2 separate regions of the Mus musculus genome follow, and region 1 is reported to be linked to region 2. The links are microRNA targets in miRTarBase. Many come from high-throughput screens and were not tested one by one. Region 2 holds a microRNA gene; the other region holds the end of a gene's coding sequence.
What was found. Region 2 holds the annotated microRNA mmu-miR-672-3p (ACACACAGUCACUAUCUUCGA, at 9,328-9,348, opposite strand). A microRNA usually pairs through its seed, bases 2 to 8, with sites in the 3' UTR of a target mRNA and lowers its output. Matches are read on the target gene's strand: a 7mer-m8 pairs with bases 2 to 8, a 7mer-A1 pairs with bases 2 to 7 and ends in A, and an 8mer does both.

Region 1: miRTarBase lists Atm as a target of mmu-miR-672-3p. Seed matches in the 3' UTR shown: 7mer-m8 at 725-731, 7mer-A1 at 754-760 and 7mer-A1 at 1,897-1,903.

Annotation. Positions count from the first base shown.
Region 1 is chr9:53,437,123-53,440,122 of GRCm38, reverse strand. Atm (ataxia telangiectasia mutated) reads left to right here. Exons shown (of 63, transcript NM_007499.3): 62 at 1-92; 63 at 194-3,000. The coding sequence ends at 377. Among named protein-coding and RNA genes, the nearest start is that of 4930550C14Rik, 33 kb to the right of the region's middle.
Region 2 is chrX:104,106,865-104,123,688 of GRCm38, forward strand. Mir672 (microRNA 672) reads right to left here and starts at 9,410; the gene lies at 9,311-9,410. All of the region lies in intron 1 of Nexmif (neurite extension and migration factor), which reads right to left.

The sequences.
Region 1 (3,000 bases), not on the chromosome of region 2:
AAAGCTCTGTATCTACAGCAGAGACCAGAAGATGAGTCCGACCTCCATTCCACCCCCAATGCAGATGATCAAGAATGCAAACAAAGTCTTAGGTGGGATATTTCAGGAAGGACCTGTTGTTACTTAGATTTTCTTGTTCCCAGGCCCTCCATGGTTGCACCTCATTGTAATCTTTGTGTTCTTTTATCATTAGTGATACTGACCAGAGTTTCAACAAAGTAGCTGAGCGTGTCTTGATGAGACTGCAAGAGAAACTGAAAGGCGTGGAGGAAGGCACTGTGCTCAGTGTGGGTGGACAGGTGAACTTGCTTATCCAGCAGGCCATGGATCCCAAAAATCTCAGCCGACTCTTCCCAGGATGGAAAGCTTGGGTGTGACCTTCACCCTTAAACTCGAACTTCAGAAATGACATCTCACCCACCATATTTGGACAGGAATTACTTAAGTGAATAACTGCTTTTGATCCAATTTTCTACTTGACTGATCACCACCTAAATATTAGTATTTCTACTCTCTTCTGTTAGAGGTAATGGTCACTCAAGATCCATTCGTAGGATACGTGCTGACTCTTAGGTCATGCTTGTGCTACTGCAGCAAGACCGCCGCATACACACTGAACTGCAAATGGTGGGGGCAGCAGAGTGAGCTTTACTGCTGGTGTACATGAAGACAAGTTCGTAACTTCTGCTCTAAAACAACCTTTAATTAAAGCATGTTTTCCAGACTGTGTGTGTGTGTGTGTGTGTGTGTGTGTGTGTGAGAGAGCATGTCACACACATTAAGTAATGAAGTGCTTAATAATACTTTTCAAAAGGGACTCTTTAAAATTGTAACTATCACTATATCATGGGAATCCCTCATTAGAATGAATGTAGGTAGGGCTGGAGTGTGGCTCAGTGGGAGAACATGTGCCTAACCTGTAGGAGGCCCCATATTCAGACCAGAATTGCAGATTCAAGAGAAAAAAAAAAAAATAGAGCATGTTGAAAGCAAGCAGTATAAGTTGAGCCTTCTTAATTCTTAAGTCCAAAACATGAGACATTTTCATGTTGAAAACTTTCTGACATATTGGGCTCATTTTAGACTTGCACATTATATTAGGCACACAGCTAGTCTTAGCTCGCTGTCTGCATGAATGCTTCCCAACCTGGAAACGTCTAAAACTGAAAGCAACTCTCAGCACACATACACACACTCACAACAATAAAGTAAACAACTTTTTTACAAAGGGAAAAGTAGATTGCATAGTTTCAGCTATGTGCCCTGGAACTAACAGATCCACCTCCTGGGGCCTCCCAAGGTGCGGAAGGAAGGTCGGTGTTAAAGGTGTGCCACACCATATTCCACTTTATTAATGTTCCAAGTCCTGGTCTGTCACTAACCATCTTTAAACACCGCATTGGGATCGTCTTGTTAAGGCAAGGGCTGGGTGGGCGGTTGGTTGTATTGTTGATTCTTGTCTCGGGGGCTGATTGGTCATTTTGTCATTTTGAAAGGTGTGCTCACTCATACACACAAGCACACACCGTGTGTGGGAATCCAGAGTGGCTTGGTTAAGAGGGGTTCTTCCAGATAGTTTGCTTCTGTTTCACCCTCAGGGATTTTACTGACATTTCTTGGCTCCGGAGCTTTAGATCTCAGGAGTAGTGTAGATTCCCGAGAGCAGCAGAGTCTTTCAGGCCGCAGTAGACCTGTTCTCTCTAATCTGTATGCTAATGGGCATAATGTTGAATTGATGCCCCTTAAAATGAAAGCTCGACCTGTGTCTCACTGTGGTGGCAGGGTAAAGGGAGATGGCATTTAATGCTTCTCTTGTGCTGTTTGCAAGCCTAATACCACACGTGTGTGTGTGTGTGTGTGTGTGTGTGTGTGTGTGTGTGTGTGTGTGTGTGTGTGTGTGTGATTTGTATTGTATATACAAAGCCAAACTACTCTTTTGGTTTCTGTAAACTGCTATGAAACTGTTCTGCATTTCAGCTTTCTTGTGTATTTTGTAAGAATTGTTAAATGGATATTTGGCATCTGCTTGACTGCAGTAAATCAGGCGGATGTAATGAACTTAGAATGTCTGTAAGCAAGTGTTGATGTCTTCATGGATGGAGGAAGAAAATTAGCTAATGATGTCTAGCTAAATGAATTTGTAATTTGTTTTTGTAGTTAATCCACTGAAGAGGTTGGAATAGTTGATCCATTCTTCACCCTTGAATAATATTCTGTTAACAGAATATATTCAGATTTCTTCAGTGGCTTTGATAAATCTATGTCAAAATTTTTCAGATAAACCCAGAAGCTGCTACTTGAAAGGTGAAAAAGACTGAGTTAGAAAATCTTTCTGACAGGTTTGAGTGAGACGGGCTGTTACCAGGAGCCCATGAGTGATAGTTAGATTTATAGGTTACTAAGAATCAGGTATTTTCTTTATGCTGAGTACCTGACATGTCTATCAGCAGCACCTCTGATTCTTACAACAAAACTTTGTAATATTCCTGACGGTGCCACAGATTATCTGGAGAAAAATTACTTGCCTGAGGACAGAAGACATTGCACATGTGTTCCTCACAGAAGCTGCTAGAAAAGAAGGAGGCAGCATGTCTGTCTGTCTGCAGTAAAGGAGGCAGCACTCCTCTTCCAGCCCTATGCTGCTGTACCCCTCAAATGGTCCCCAGTCAGGTCCTAAGGCTAAGGTCATCATAGCGTTCAATTAAAACAGGGAAAAAAGGGTGTGTCCCTAGAAATCCATCTCAACTTTAGATGTGATAAAAGGAATAAACGCAAAAAGGAACTTAGAGCACCTTAAGGTTTATAATAACTGTCTTTCTTTTTAAGTAGAAGGTCAGTATGAAATAGAAAATGTGCCATATCAAATGTTTTAGTTGCACCTTAGTAAAATTATGTATGTTATGTAGATTTGTTTAGTGCTAGTAAATGTTTTTCAGTTATGCTGTTTCCTGAATTATCAGTTTGTTTTAAATAAAGAACTGTGGAAGTATATGCTGACTA
Region 2 (16,824 bases):
CTTCTTTAAATCATCTCTATTTTTGTGAAGAGTAAGTGTGTTCAAGGAAACTGTTGAGGGATTTTAAAATAATAATACAAAATGTTAATACAAAATTAGAAAAAAATCATATTTAAATTCTATGTCTGTAATTAAATGATTATCAATGTTATCTAAGCTTTAAATATTTGCTTTCTTCTCTCTCTTCTTTTAAGATTTATTTATTTATTTATTTATTTATTTATTTATTTATTTATTTATATGAGTACACTGTAGCTGTCTTCAGACACTCAAGAAGAGGGCATTGGATCCCATTACAGATGGTTGTGAGTCACCATGTGCTTGCTGGGAATTGAACTCAGGACCTCAGGAAGGGCAGTCAGTGCTCTTCGCCACTGAGTCATCTCTTCAGCCCTCTACTCTATTTCTTTTCCATTATTCATTATTTGCTCACTATGTCAGTCATGAGTAAGTCTTATCTAGAACACGCCATTGACCATTTTTGAATATAATAAATGATGTATGTATGTATATATATGTATATATGAATAACTATAATTTAAAACAGAAAGAAATGTGACTTAATACAACAGAGCATTTCATAAAATTTCTAAAGATGTCACGGGAAGTTAAATTCAATGTTTGTGTAGAAAAAACATTTGAGTTTGGCCGTGGTGCATCAATAAAAATAGTGTGAGGATCCAATAATACATAGGAAAGCATTAGTATAAAAATTATGCAAATGCTATTTTAACTGCTAGAAAAGGGTAAAAGAAGCAGTTGTAGTAAGACAAGGAATGAGTCAGTCCCTTATTTCTTTATGCACAACCTCAAAATACTTTACTTCAAAAGAAGTTATGAGTTCCCTTGATTTCAGGGTCTCCACACCTTATTTCTGTCTTCTTCCTTTAGCAATCTAAAGAGACCATATTACATTATATATGAAAGCTTTCCAGGGCTGCTAAGGTCTGGCAGCATAAGGCCAGTCAAAGAAGAATCACTGACATTGCTCTGACATACTGAGTAAAATTAATGTATCAGATAAACAAATGAGCCAATTTAAGCTCATATGCAAACTAAAGGGAACTGCCTCAAGATCCACTTTAGGGATGGAGCTTAAAGCAGAGGAAGAGATTGAAGGGAGATAAAATATATTTGACACCCACTTTCCTAACAAAGTTCCATTATGATGCTAGTGGTCCCTCTGGAAGCTCTTTAACAGTCTTGTTTGCCGTTGCTACTTGGGTTCAGACAGAAAACAGACTATCCTTTCACGTGTCACTAATTGCATGGATTTTCTTTTTTTTTTATTTTAATTGATTTTTTTTATTACATATTTTCCTCAATTACATTTCCAATGCTATCCCAAAAGTCCCCCATACCCTCCCCCACACTTCCCTACCCACTCATTCTCATTTTTTTTTGGCCCTGGCGTTCCCCTGTACTGGGGCATATACAGTTTGCAAGACCAATGGGCCTCTCTTTCCAGTGATGGCCGACTAGGCCATCTTTTGATACATATGCAGCTAGAGTCAAGAGCTCCGGGGTACTGGTTAGTTCATAATGTTGTTCCACCTATAGGGTTGCAGATCCCTTTAGCTCCTTAGGTAATTTCTCTAGCTCCTCCATTGGGAGCCCTGTGATCCAACCAATAACTGACTGTGAGCATCCACTTCTGTGTTTGCTAGGCCCCGGCACAGTCTCTTTATGTTCTTTTTCTTCATCCTTAGAGCACACTCCACCTCCATCCCCTGCAAACCTCGCTCCCTCCCCACTTCTGCCCTTTGGAAGAACCATCAAGGCTGGCTGGAAATAAAGTCCAGTATTTAGCTAAAAAAAACCTGTACACTTCAGCCATATTTAGGGTCACATTAATTCATTTCCATTTCGATTCTTTTTCAAATCTCCTACAGGTACTAGTCACCAGAGAAACCGTTCTTCACAGAGACTTCCCTGAGGTTTGCTGGGAAGAATCTGGCTGTGCTCTGCTCCACTATTTCAGTTCTGTATGTTTTTTGAGAGGTCAACATCTTTGCCAACCGCCTCCCCCCCCCCCCCCGTTGTTGAACAATGTAGCTTGTATGAAAAATAATTGGAACAAACAAAACAACAACCCTACAATACAATCCACCAAGAAATATACAGTTACTGATAAGAAACTGCAATGTGAAACTAGTAAGGAACACAATGGTACTGTTGATGAAATTATTTCTAATCACAGAGAAAAGTAAAATCCTCAGAATTTTTTTAAACAGTTACTTACGGACACTTGATCTTTGACAAAGAAGCCAAAAATACACAATGGGGGAAAAAGCGTCTTCAATAAATGGTGCTCATCCAACTGACTGTCTGTAGGTAGAAGAATGAAAATAGGCCCATATTTGTTACCTTGCACAAAGCTCAAGTCCAAATGGATCAAGGACCTCAACATAAAACCAGATACACTGCCGGGCGTGGTGGTACACGCCTTTAATCCCAGCACTTGGGAGGCAGAGGCAGGCCGATTTCTGAGTTCGAGGCCAGCCTGGTCTACAAAGTGAGTTCTAGGACAACCAGGTGATACAGAGAAACCCTGCCTCAAAAAAATAAAAAAACAACAACAAAAAAAGATACACTGACTCTAATAGAAGAGAAAGTGGAAAAGAACCTTGAACTCATTGGCACAGGGGGAAATTTCCTAAACAGAATTCCAATGGCTCATGCTGTAAGATCAAGAATTGATAAATGGGATCTCATGAAATTGGAAAGCTTCTGTAAGGCAAAGAACATAGTCGATAAGACAAATCGGCAACCTACAGAAGAATGGATAAAGAAAATGTGGTACATTTACATAATAGAATACTAATCAGCCATTAAAAAAATGACATGGTGAAAATGGATGGAACTAAAAAGTATCATTCTGAGTAAGGTACCCCAGACCCAGAAAGACATACATGATATGTACTCACTTCTAAGTGGACATTAGCCATAAATTACAGAATAACTATGCTATAATCCACAGATCCAAAGAAGATAAGTAACAAGGAAAATCCAAGGGAGGTTTCTTGAATCTTGCTCAGAAGGGGAAATAAAATAGACATTGAAGATGGATAGAAGGAGGGAAGTTAATGGAAGGAGGTGGATAGATGGGAGAGTAGGTGGGGAGGGAAACTGGGGTAGGATCAGTTGTGAGGATGGCTGACTGGAACTGGACAACCAATTGGTATGCTCTTCCTTGGGGAGGACTACCTCTCATGCTCCCAGCTTAACTAAGTTGCCTGTGCAGATCTTTGTGTAGAGTTGAAGCCTCCTGGGCTTTTCCCATGCAATTTGGCAAATTTGTTGATTTCAATCTTGTTTAGCTCACATTTGGTAGACATGTTGGTAGTGTGTAACTTATGGGTATAGCTTCTGAAGTTATTAGAAGACAAAAATCCCACAGCCAAGTCCCTGATCCTTTATACTTCTCTCCCTATTCTCCTTGTCTTCCACATGCCCTGCTGCCCAGATCCCTCCCTCCTTCCACTTTCATATTACATGTATTCTGATGCTCTCCTCATCCTTCTCCCTTATAGCTCCTCCTTCCAGTTTCTAGTTTTCTGGTGTTTATACTCACTCATTCTCACATAACTACACATAGAGAAAAGCTAGAAGCTAGGATCTGAATACTGGGCACGACATCAGGTTTCTGCCTTTCTGAGAATGGGTTGCTTCAATTAATATTTTTTCCTAGTTCTGTCAATTTTCCTGAAAATTTAATCAATAATTTCATTTTTCATGACTGAATAATTCCACTGTGCATATGTACCACATTTTCATTATCCATTCAGCTGTTGATGGACATGTATGCTGATTCCATATCCTTTCTACTATGAATAGTGCAGCAGTAAACATGTATTTGTGCATATATCTGTGGTGGGATATAGTCTTTGGGGTATATGCCCAGCAGTGGTATACTGGGCCATGCAATCGTTCTATTTTCAGTTATTTTACAAACATCCAAGCTGATTTCCACAGTGGTTGTACCAGTTTACATTTCCGTCAATGGTGTTAATGTTCCTCTTTTCCAACAGCCTCACCAAGATTAGTTGTCATTTGTTGTCTTGATGTTATCTATTCTGATTCAAAGTAGTTTAAATTTGCATTTATCTGATGACTAAGGCTGTTGAACTCATTGAAAAGTTAATTTTCTGTGAATTCTGTTTCTCTCTTTAGCTAATTTTTAAAAACACTGAGTTGTTTGTTTTCTAATTTAATTGTTTCACTACTTTGTATATAAAATGACCAAATTTTAATGCTTCCATAATCTTGTAAAGATTTATGACTTTCTAGATGTTAGCAAATACTTGGTCATTTTACAGAAATTTCATCATTCTGGTAAATGTAGCTATCTTCTTGTGGATATTGTATTTTCTATCCATACAGAATATGCTTAGAGAATGATAATTATTCCAATCAGCTTACAAGCAGAGATCCTATTACACCCTACAAACAACTTCAACCCAAACTTCTTGGAAATATATGTTAAAAGCACAAATGTAAATAGGCTTATAGTATGATCCACCAACTATATTGCTAGTAGTCTACCAAAATAAATTAGAAATGTATATTTAACACAAAACCCCTATAAGTACATGTTTATAGTAACATTATTCATAGTTTCCCAAAGTTAGAAATACTCAAAATGACTTTTAACAAAATATTGGCTAGTTATTTCTACAATGGAATACTAGTCAATAATAAAACAAAACACTCGGTGAGATTAGGCGTATTAGGGGTAACATGGCCAAAGACAAAAGGGAGCATTTTTTCATCATTATTTTTTATTTTTATTAGCTATTTTCTTCATTTACATTTCAAATGCTATCCCCAAAGCCCCCTATAACCCCCATCCTGCTCCCCAAACCAAAAGGGAACATTTTAAAAAAATTATTTATTTATCATATGTAAGTACACTGTAGCTGTCTTCAGACACTCCAGAAGAGGGCGCCAGATAGTTGTTTCGGATGGTTGTGAGCCACCATGTGGTTACTGGGATTTGAACTCAGGATCTCTGGAAGAGCCGTCAGTGCTCTTAACCGCTGAGCCATCTCTCCAGCCCCCAAAACGGAACATTTTAAATGCATTACCAATTCACACAATATGAACTGTACCTTAAATTAAACTTTGCTGAGAAACAGAAACTATACCCAAATAGGCCACATATTATATTGTTATATTGTTATGCCATTCTGTAAAACAGATTGGAATATAGGGATGGAAACCCATGAGTAATTTCAGAATGTTAGGAGAAGGAGTCCTGGTTGGCAACAACAGAAGTTTAAAAATGATAGAACTTTTCTCAATGATGCTGGAGTAAAGAGTATATAACACTCTGCCAAAAATTATGTACCTCCTATTCACAAAGACTTAGCCTTAGTATATGAAAATTTAAAAATCAACCAAGATGTTGGAAGATCATAAGATGGAATGAAAACTGTGAAAATGAATTTAACTATATAAAACATAAATGATGTAACTGCACTGAGGGATATAAAGCAGATTTTACTTGAGAAAATTATGTTTTGACACAAAATTGTAAGGATAAATAACTGAACATAAACATTATTCTTGTCCATTTGGTTCTCATAGGGACAATAGGTCAATTCTGAAACTGTTTTATATGTGTTGGTATTGAAGAAATAAACAAATGTATAGTAGGTGTTAGAACACAGTTTTCTCACTGTTAGAGAAGAAATTTATAGGTAAACAGGAATAGAAGACTAGTACTGGATTCATTCATGGTATTGATATGAGGTCATATTTAGCTTAATATACATAAAATAGATTGATAGACAATTATAGATGCATATGTATATATAGAATAGTTCAGCTATATATTACTTAAGTTGTCCATTGAGAAAGTACAGAAACAATGATAGTTGGTAAGATTGGCTCAGATCTTGGTTTTCAAATACATTGTCCCCCCCAATCAATTAATATTCCTTAAAGAAACTGCTGGTGTGAGTTTGGAGTATTTTGAAGTACCAGAAAATTATCAATCTAAGAAGATAAAATTCAAGCTGCATGTCAAGAGGCTACAGAAGCTAATCTGAAAGAATCACTTACGGTCAAAGTAAGAACATTGTGAGCAACAGAACAGATAAGCTAACATCCAAAACACTTCTACCTTCATGCACAGGAATCAAATAGCAGTCAACAAAAGTTGATATTCTTTAAAAAGAACTCCAAATTCTATATTTATTTTTTATAAATTGCTTTAGACAAAAGCGGTGCACACTATTAATCCCAGCACTTAAGAGGCAGAGGCAGGTGGATCTCTGTGAGTTTGAGGTCAGCCTGGTCTACAAAGTGAGTTTCAAACAGTAGTGAGTTCCAGGACAGTCACAACTATACAGTAAGACATTGTCTTAGAAAAACATGAATTATATTTCTACACATGTAAATATATACAAGTATTCTTTATTTCAAGGAGGTTGAACTTAGGTGTGAGTGAATTTCTGAAGCATAGAGAACAGAAAAGAAAAAAACTTCAACTTTCTATTGTGTGAACATGGCAAACCATATTATCAAAGTTAACTACTGATACTGTGTACCACTTTATATATACCTTGATAGTAATGACACTTCATCTCTGTAGTATTTTTTTCAAAACTCACAACAAATTGAGGGACATTGTACAAAACATCTTACAGGTAAACCTAAAAAACTGGCACAGATGAGAAAACTAAGGAAATAGGAAGATCAAAGATTTTCAGTTATCTCTGATCCTGATTTTCTAGATGCTAGCATAGAAAACTGATAAAATCTGGGGTTTTATTTTGAAATTATACCACAGCAATATAAGAGAAAAGAGACAATGATCATGATTTTTTGTACATTGCAATTTTTTATAAATATAGAATTATTCCAATTATTAAAAATTAAACTATAATGGCATACATGAAACATTCACACTCACAAGAGTTCATAGCTTAAACAGTATCTGTTAGATTCCCCCTTTGCATAGGAGGGAAGAATAATCTCTCTTGAAGCCAGAAATTCACTATGTGACTGTGACCTTGAACAATATCCAATTCTAGGCTTGAATTTTCAATATGTACCATAAGGGATTGAACAAAAATGTCTGAAAGGCCAATTCAGCTCTATCCACTCTGGGATTCTTTTTGGCTATGTCAGAAGCTGGAACAGAGACCCAAATCTTCCCTAGGGAGTTGTTTAACAAAACCATCTGCTTTACTAATACAAGATCAAAGTAGAATGTTCAATTTGCCTTCCAGCCACCAGGAATCCTATAGAAATGATTTGTTAAGAAGCAGAATGAAACTTCTATGGTTTTAAATCTCCTATCTGTTTTGTGTTCTCTAGGTGTCTTAATCGGGATTTCTATTCCTGCACAAACATCATGACCAAGAAGCAAGTTGGGGAGGAAAGGGTTTATTCAGCTTACACTTCCATTCTGCTGTTCATCACCAAGGAAGTCAGGACTGGAACTCAAGCAGGTCAGGACGCAGGAGTTGATGCAGAGGCAATGGAGGGATGTTCTTTACTGGCTTGCTTCCCCTGGCTTGCTCAGCCTGCTCTCTTACAGAACCAAGACTACCAGCCCAGAGATGGTCCCACCCACAAGGGGCCTTTCCCCCTTGATCACTGAGAAAATGCCTTACAGCTGGATTTTGTGGAGGCATTTCCTCAACTGAAGCTCCTTTCTCTGTGATAACTCCAGCTGTGTCAAGTTGACACCCAATACCAGCCAGTACACTAGGAAATGAGGGCAAAGTGAAAGCCAATATATAAGCGTGGTTTAAGAAAGGAAAATGGGGAGCTGGAGAGATACTCAGCTGGTAAGAGCACTGACTGCTCTTCCGAAGGTCCTGAGTTTAAATCCCAGCAAACACATGGTGGCTCACAAATATCTGTAATGAGAACTTATGCCCTCTTCTGGTGAGTCTGAAGACAGCTACAGTGTGCCACACCCACTCCAGTAAAAACTGCCTGACAGGCCCAAAAGCTTGGCTACAGTCATGAGGCATAAAGTTTTATGGAAACTTGTCTCCTGGAAAGTTTCTGGTGTCCCATAAACAGATGTGTTTCAGATTCGTCCTTGCAATAGTTGGCGAATGGTTCTGTGTGCTTTCTTTCAGTATTGTTTTATTATAGGTGCCTCCAAGGAATGATTTGACAAATACCTAAATTAGGTTGAACTTTGCTTCCTGGTCTTCACCAACGTCCTAGGCAGTCCTTGAGCTGACCCTGGGCTTGGAATTTAGTAAGAATGTTATCTATTCAGACGAATTGCCTCCAGTATTGAAAGAGAGATAGCAAAAGAAATCGGGCGTTACTATCTACTACATATAGTTAGAAATTTCAGGGCAAGCTTAGCAAAGTAAGTTTAGAATTCTTATTATAGTTATATATGTCAGACTACATTACTTAATAGAAGAAAGTCCCTCACAAAATCACTTAGAATAACAGGCGAGTAACTCCCACATACAGGAATTTACAATTGTTTAGGAAGAAGATCGGGCTGTGATTTAAGGAGGAACTAGTGTGTTGCATTATTCATGAGAAGGTTAGCTAGAGCGGAACTCCCTAGCACATACTTTCACTAGCCCTGGGGAATAGCATAGTTAGGTATTTACTAAGAGCTGGGTGGTGGTGGGCTAAACAATAAATCAGAATTAGAACTATGGCTTGGGCGTGAAAGCCCTTGCCCCAGGAGTGTAACGACCTCACACCTGGCTTCTAAGACTATAGCTGACCTTAGATAGAGCTGACTTTGTCTCAGTTGTTACATTGCCTAGTTCCTGCTGGTCTTTATGTAGGCATTCCTCTGTTTTGTGTAAAGAGTCATTAAGCATCAGGTAACCTCAATGTACCTTGGCTGATGTGTCACCTAACTTCCTTATTTTCTTCTGTGCTGCATAAGAGTGAGAACCTGAGCTTGGGCTCTCAGCATGTATACAATAAAAGCCAGGCATGGCTGGGAGGAAGCCAGAAACCCTAGTGAGGTAGGCACAGGAGAATCAGTCAGTCAGGTTTTCTGACTCTCGTCCTGACTCTATGGTTCTGTGAGAGACCTTAAAACAGGAACAAGGCAGAGAGTGATAACACAAGTCATTTGATGCCCTCCTTTGGCCGCTGTACACACACACACACACACACACACACACACACACACACACACACACTACTATTACTATTACTACTACTAACTTTAAAAATGAAGGTCTTTCTCTGCTCAGGCTAAACTCAGTTTATTCCAAGGAAAAACTCGACCTTCTAGAACCAGAATGTGCTAGCTTCAGATGTTGGCATTACTTTAATGGCTTAATAAGAGATGGCTGAGAAAGATGTGCACCCTCACTTTCGAAGATAGTGACTGTGTGTGATAAATATGTATACTCACACACAGTACACCAACCTCAAAACTAAAGGGCTAGATCACCATCTTAAATATTTTTATTGTATATTTTCTTTATTTACATTTCAAATGTCATCCTTGAACAACATTTAAAGCACCAAACGTTTTCTAGTCTACTCTAGCTGCCTATAGATTAGATTAGAGAAGGAAATAAATCTAAAATTCAGCAGAGATGTCCAAATCTTATCAGCCTGCAAGAAAATGAAAGAGGCTCTTCTACAGAGGGGCATGGTGGAGTGCTATTGTAATTCCAACACTCAGAATGGAGGAAGTGAGTTGAAGATAGAGTGGGTTACACAATGAGTTAGAGGCTAGCCCTAGGCTGCGTGATGAGATAATATTTTGGAAGGGAAGGGATGGGAAAGGAAGGGGAGGGGAGGGGAAGGAAGGGGAGGAGAGGAAAGGGAGGGGAGGAGGAAAGCCAGAATTCTAAGAAACATAAGGTTATTACTAACACATTAAACTTAGTAACGCTTAAACCCAACAGTTTCCCTCAGTCAGAACTTTTAGCAGTTCTCTAAGTGTGACAAACAACCACAGACACTCTGCAATTCATCTAGAGTTCATGAACTTGAAACCAAAGGGTTTTTCTTCAAAGGTTGTTTTTTTTTTTTTTTTTTGGTTTTTTTTTTTTGGTTTTTCGAGACAGGGTTTCTCTGTGTAGCCCTGGCTGTCCTGGAGCTCACTTTGTAGACCAGGCTGGCCTCAAACTCAGAAATCCGCCTGCCTCTGCCTCCCAAGTGCTGGGATTAAAGGCGTGCGCCACCACCGCCCGGCCAAAGGTTGCTTATTAAGGCAGTCTTGTACACATCTTTTTTAAAAGATTATTTATTTATTTATTTATTTATTTATTTAGACGCACCAGAAGAAGGCATCGGATCTCACTATAGATGGCTGTGAGCCACCATGTGGTTGCTGGGAACTGAACTCAGGACCTCTGGAAAAGCAGTCAGTGCTCTTAACCTCTGAACCATCTCTCCAGCCCTGTATACATTTATATAACTGTAATAAAGAGCAAGGCGAACATTTAGGACAAGTTACTATAATTTCTTTCACAATATATTTTTGTTTACTTTCTTCGAATACATCTTCTTCCAGCACAGAAGCTTCAATTATATGATATGCTGGGAACCTCGATCAAGAAAATGCCTCCTTTAATATGGCCTTTAGGCAAGTCTGTGGGGGCATTTTCTTGACTAATGACTGATATAAGAGGGCCCAGGACATGGTTGTTGGTGCTATCCCTAGGCAAGTGGTTCTGGGTTGTATAAGAAATCAGGCTGAACAAGCCAGTAAGTTACACCCCTCCATGGCCTCTGCTTTAGTTTCTGCCCTGACTTTTTTAAATGATTGACTACAAGCTATAAGCCAAAAATTCCTTTCCTCTCCAAGTAGCTTGGTCATGCTACTTAAAAACAAAATGTAATTGTTTATTTTATTAATAAATCCATAATTATAATAACTTAAAATATTTAGTTTCAATGTCCGTTTGCAACAATAACAGGCCTATGTAAAAGGAGAAATCAGAGGGAAAGATGCCTGGAAGAGAAGTATAAAGAAAAGGGAGATAGAAGGAAAAAAAGGAAAACTGGTCAGAAAAAGGAAAATAAAATAGAAAAAAAAAACAGTACAAAATGAGGTAAAAATTACCAAAATACATTATGTTTATATATGAACTTGCCAAATAACAACAATAATAATTTCAAAGGTGGGGTGGAGAGATGGCTACGCTGGGACCAGATTTCAGATTCTTAGAATTCATGGAAATACTTAGTGGGTGTGGTCATAATCCCTAGAGCAAGCTGGCTAGTGAGGGTAGCCATATCTTTTAGCTTTGGATTTGATTCAGAGACCTTGACTTGAGTTGTGGTGAAAGAACATTGAATATCAAATTGAGCTTGGACCTCCACATACATGTGTACACATGTGGACCTGTACCCCCACTCACACATGTAAGCTGCATGCAGATATACATGCATACAGTGTACATAAATGAAAAAAAGGAAACATAAAAAGAAACAAAAAAGATAATAAACTAAGGGATAGTGAAGAAACGTGTTACATGTCGTGAGTTGCCTCATGTGAGTGCTGGGAACCCAACTTCAGCTCTTTGCAACAACAGCAAGTTTTCTCTTCTTAATCTCTGAGCCATCTCTCTAGATCTCTAAATTCCTCCTTTTACTTATTTAGTTATTCATTTTTTAAGACAGAATTTCCCTATGTAGCCCTGACTGTCCTGGGACTCATAGAGATCTGCCCATGTCTGCCTCTCAAGTGCTGGGATTAAAGGCATGCACTACTATGTCAGGGATTTTTGTGGCAACCTTGTAGGAGGACCAGCAGTCTCAATTAACCTGGACCCCTGAGATCTCTCAGACACTTAGCCAACAACCAGGCAGCATACACCAGCTGATATGAGGCCCCCAACACATATAAAGCAGAGGTCTGGGTCTAGTCAGAGATGATGCACCTAACCCTCAAGAGACTGGAGGTCCTAGGGAGTTTAGAGGTCTGGTGGGGTAGTGGGTGGGGACATCCACGTGGAGACGGGGTGTGGTGGGGAGGAGGTATGGGATGTGGAGAAGTCAGAGGGTGGACCAGGAGGGGGAATAAAATCTGGAGTGTAAGTAAGTAAATAAATAAAACCATTTGTAATTCTTTAAGAATTTCATATATCTACACAATGTATTTTGATCATATTCTGGGAGGGGGAATAAAATCTGGAGTGTAAATAAATAAATAAATAAATAAACCATTTGTAATTCTTTAAGAATTTCATATATCTACACAATGTATTTTGATCATATTCATTCCCACTTGTTCCCCTAAAGCCTTCCAGATCCACCAGCCCATCCCCTCCCAATTTCATATAATGCTAAAAAAAAACCTACTCTAAGTTCAATTCGTAAGGCCATCCTCTGAAGTACACATACCCCTAAGTTCTACAGTTTAATGTTCACTCAATCTAACAGCTTTGACATATGCCATGGACCCACTTTCGTATGACTTCGCTGTCCTAAAATTTCCCTGTGCAGTATTTATTCCTTCCCCCCAAATCCTGCAATTATGAAAATTTTTATTGTCACCACAGTTTTAGTTTTCAAGCATATTGTATTAGTTGGAATTATACAGTATAAAGACTTTTCAGACTAAATTATTTTATTCAGTAATATGTATTTAAGATTTCTTTGTGTCATTTTGGCTTGAAAGCTTATTTCTTTTAAAGGCTGAATAGTCTATTGTGTGTATCCAACACATTTGTTTGTTTACTCACTGACCCATGAAGGACATCTTAATGAACTGAATAAGATGTGAATTATTGTGTAGGTCTAAGCTTTCAAAAACTCATTTGGATAAGTACATATAGCATGATAACTAGACCATTTAATGTGGGTACACTCGATTTTATGAAAAAACTTTCTTCCAAAATGGCTGTACCAATTTTGTATCTCCAGCAACAAACAAAAATTCCTATTATTTGATATCTTCATCATAATTTGGTCCTGTCATTGTTTTTGGAGTTTGCTCTTCTAATATTTGTATAATGCTTTTATGCTGCCTTAAAATACCTTGGGTAATTTGTGAGTAACAATTTGTTTCTTATAGACCTGGGGGATAAAACAATCAAGGTACAAAAGTAGACTTATTGTGTGGTGAAGGCTAACTTCTGTTCAATAGATGATAGCTTGTTCTGTTTCTGACATGATAAAACAAAAGGGATTAAAGAATGAACTCACTGTTTAAAGGCATTCTAATAATTTGTTTTTATTAAAATATATTAATTATATACAATAATGGGTTTCATTATGTCATTCTATATTTTGTTGCTGGGTGATGTAATCCTTAAGTGGCCCGCCATGCTGCAGAAGCAGTCAAAGTGATGACTGGCCCCCCACTTCCCACTCAGCCCAAGGCTGTGGTGAGATGCCCCAGCGGGAGCTGTTAAAATGGTGGCACCAGGACATCTCCTCAGCCTGCAGCAGTCACAGGAGCTGCCTGTAGTGATGCACTGCCTTTCCTGCCTAAGCAGGGTGCTCCCCAGGAACACAGTGGCAACACCTTTCCTGCCTCAGCCTACTGCAGCATGAAGAGCTGTCCACGGTGACAATACCTTCTTGGTGAAACTGTAGGCGCTGTCTCACAGGAGCTATCCACAGTGGCAGCACCTCCTCTCCAGTCTCCCTGGAGCAGCCACACACAGATGATACCTCAGCAAAAGCTGATTGCAGTAGACAAGTACTTCCCACCTTAACCCATGAGCCTGATGCAGGTAGAAGGGAGTGAAAAAAAAGCCACAATCTCTGAACAGGAAAATCCTCCAATCCCTGAGTTGCCCAAGCTCAGAACTTGAAATCCCACCAATCTTCAATCTGGAAATCTCTGCCCTGAGAAGCTCCGCCCCCTCAGAAATCCTGTATAAGCAAGTGTCCCTTTGTCCAATTCTCTTCTGTCTGCTCTAGGAAGCAGAGGGCATCCATCCTTGGATTCGTCCCTTTATACCCTAGACCCTTCAATCTCTTTCATAAGATTATTTTGCCTGTTGTGACTCTCTGGTGAGGGTCCTGAGCTCCTCAGCTTAAGCTGGTGGTACCCTCTCCTGGGCGCTGCAATGCCTCTGCTCAGGAGGCTTCCTCTCAAAGCTGTGCGGTTCCTGAGCTTCCATGTCTCAGGATGCCCTTCCACTGGGACACTGTCCCACCTCAGAGAGGTGGGGTACCTCTTCATCTGAGCAGAAACACAGCTGATGGTGGCACATGCATTTAATCCCAGCACTCAGGAGGCAGAGGCAGGTGATCTCTGTGACCTCAGCCTGGTGTACAATGAGTTCCAGGACATCTAGGGATACAGAGAAACCCTGCCTTAAAAACAAATATATGTAAAGTCTCTCTCTCTCTCTCTCTCTCTATATATATATATATATATATATATATATATATATATATATATATCTTCCTAGCAAGTACCAACTCTCTTTCTTGGTTTTGGGTGTCCCCATCACTTTAAATAGGGTTGCTTGGATGAGGGTAATTTAGAGGAGCAAGTTATCATCTATGAAAAAAATGTCTTTCCATCCTTCAGCAATCAAACTACCAATAGTGCTGCAGGAAGGGGTGAAGCCTCTTCCTGATAGCAACTGTCATAGCCAATAAATTCTCTAGGAGGAGTGGGCCTTTGTGATCCCCTTCCCCACCCATGATGAAATTTGATAGGCCCAATCTTGTGCAGTTTATACTTCAATAGTGCTACAACCATGTCATAGGCAGGAGAGAGCAGTCGACAACACTCTTCCTTTTCTTCTAGCTGCTACAATTCCTTCTGCTCCCTTTTCTGAAAAGTTCCTCAAGCCTTGGGGCAGATGATAGCGATGCTTCCTTTAGGGCTGGGCAGTCCATAAGTCACTTATTCTCAGCACCTTGAGTACTTTTGAATCTCTGCAGTAACGCTGCCCACTACAAAAGGAAGCTTCCCCTATCAAAACAGACAACAGCACTCATGTATGAGCACAACCGTAAGTCTTTAGATGATAACTTGATGGATATAACATGTCCATTTAGCAAAATAAAAATAAACATTTACCTTCTAGGGCTTATGGCCTCCACAGCTACAGACTTGTTACCAGGTTTACAGTAATAGGCATGAATTTCCTCCTCAAATCAAATGAGAATGTGGCTGGATATACTCAACAGTTATGCCACTATTGCCACAGTGGGCACATCTTGTCTTGTAGGTCTGTGGTATAGCATGCAGGCCTAGCAGGCTAGGCTCCTCTAGCAGTCTACATAGTTCTTCTGGCACTATGAAAGTTATCTAGCATAAAGGAAGTTTCTAGCTCAGTTGTAGCTTGATTTTCAAGAGCAGTAATTTCATCTATAAAGGTACAGCTCACAGATGAATCATTTCCTACGGTATATACTTTTTAATACAATTGCACTGCAACTAAATATTTTTATTATCGCCAATTTTAAGGTTTACACATAAAATAATGGCTCCGTTATGGCATTTTCATACACATGTATGTAGGCCTATATTTTTCAACACCTACTTTATTTAGGGTTCATAAATGTTTCAACCCCCCTTCTAGCCCACCATTCAGAGGTATCATGAACATTTTTACCCCTTCCTTTATTGTCTTCCTTTCCACCATCATACAACACTTACTGTGTTATATAGTTGGGTTATTTCACTTATCCCAATATCTTCAATGTCCATCAACCTTGTAGCATGTGACTAGATCCCCTTTTTGAAGCTGCATACTAGTTCATTACAGATATACACTATGTTCTATTTATCTATCACACAACAATGAACATTTGAGTTGCTTATACCTCCTTTAAAATACATGTTTTTGTTGCTAATCACTGATGTTTATACAATAATATGGAAATATATTTATGCCAAACTTTTGTGTTAGAAGCAAACAGAATATTTAGACTTTTCCCAGCTAGAAATCAGAACAGTCAGAAAATAGCTTCTTCAGAAAGTGAGGGAGGGGATGCACTGAAGCTATTAGACAGACACACAGTTGGGGAAATGCAGAGCCTCTGGCTATTGGAGCAGAGGGTGAAAAGGTTGCATCCTGACTGAGCCTGTAGTGGCTTGGCAGCATGTCAGAGGTACTATCAGAAAAGGAGAAAGATTTAGTGGGCATAACTTGCACAGAGACAGATGCAGAGCAGAAAGTCTGAACTTAGCTGCTGGGAGCTACATAGCATGCTGGTGCTTGGGAAGTGTTCCACATTTCACATCTTTAAAAGGTCATGTTCAAGCTGCTTGCTTTGAGAAATATCTCCCTACAGTTTCCTTCCCTATAAAACTCGTGGTGAATTTTTCTACTCTGTCCCTTGCAGCATCCAGTGTAGGCCCAGCCGAATGCTGCTAAGGAAAGCTCATTGAAAAATACATGTAGTACATTCAGGTGGGAGATGTTCCCCTTTTAGATAAGCAGTGCAGTGGTCAGATAAAAATGCTCAGTGGCTGAGAAAGCACATATGTAGACTGGTACTCGGGAAACTACAGTTGTGAGTAAGAAAAACATGAGATTTGCTCTATGACTCTACCTTGTATAGTTTGTTGCCCCATTATCTATGTGGATCTCAGGGTCAGGCAGGCTCTGGCTGGGGGTGTGGAAAGTATGTTCAACTAATATATTTGGAGGAAATTCTGACTGAGGGAACTTTGGTTTATACCACCTCATACTAGCAAGCATGGAACAAAGGTATTCCACTACTAAAACAATATATGCAGTACTAAAACACTCACATTGTCAGATTGGCTGACAACAGAAAAGGAAAGGTGACCATCACCTGCATTTGCTTTCTCCAATAAGCTTATTGTTCTAGACATATGGACATATAAGTGCCAACTGGTAGACATAATGAACAGCCACTATTGTTCACATGACTACCCAGAGGACATAACATTTTAATTTCTAAAACATTTTT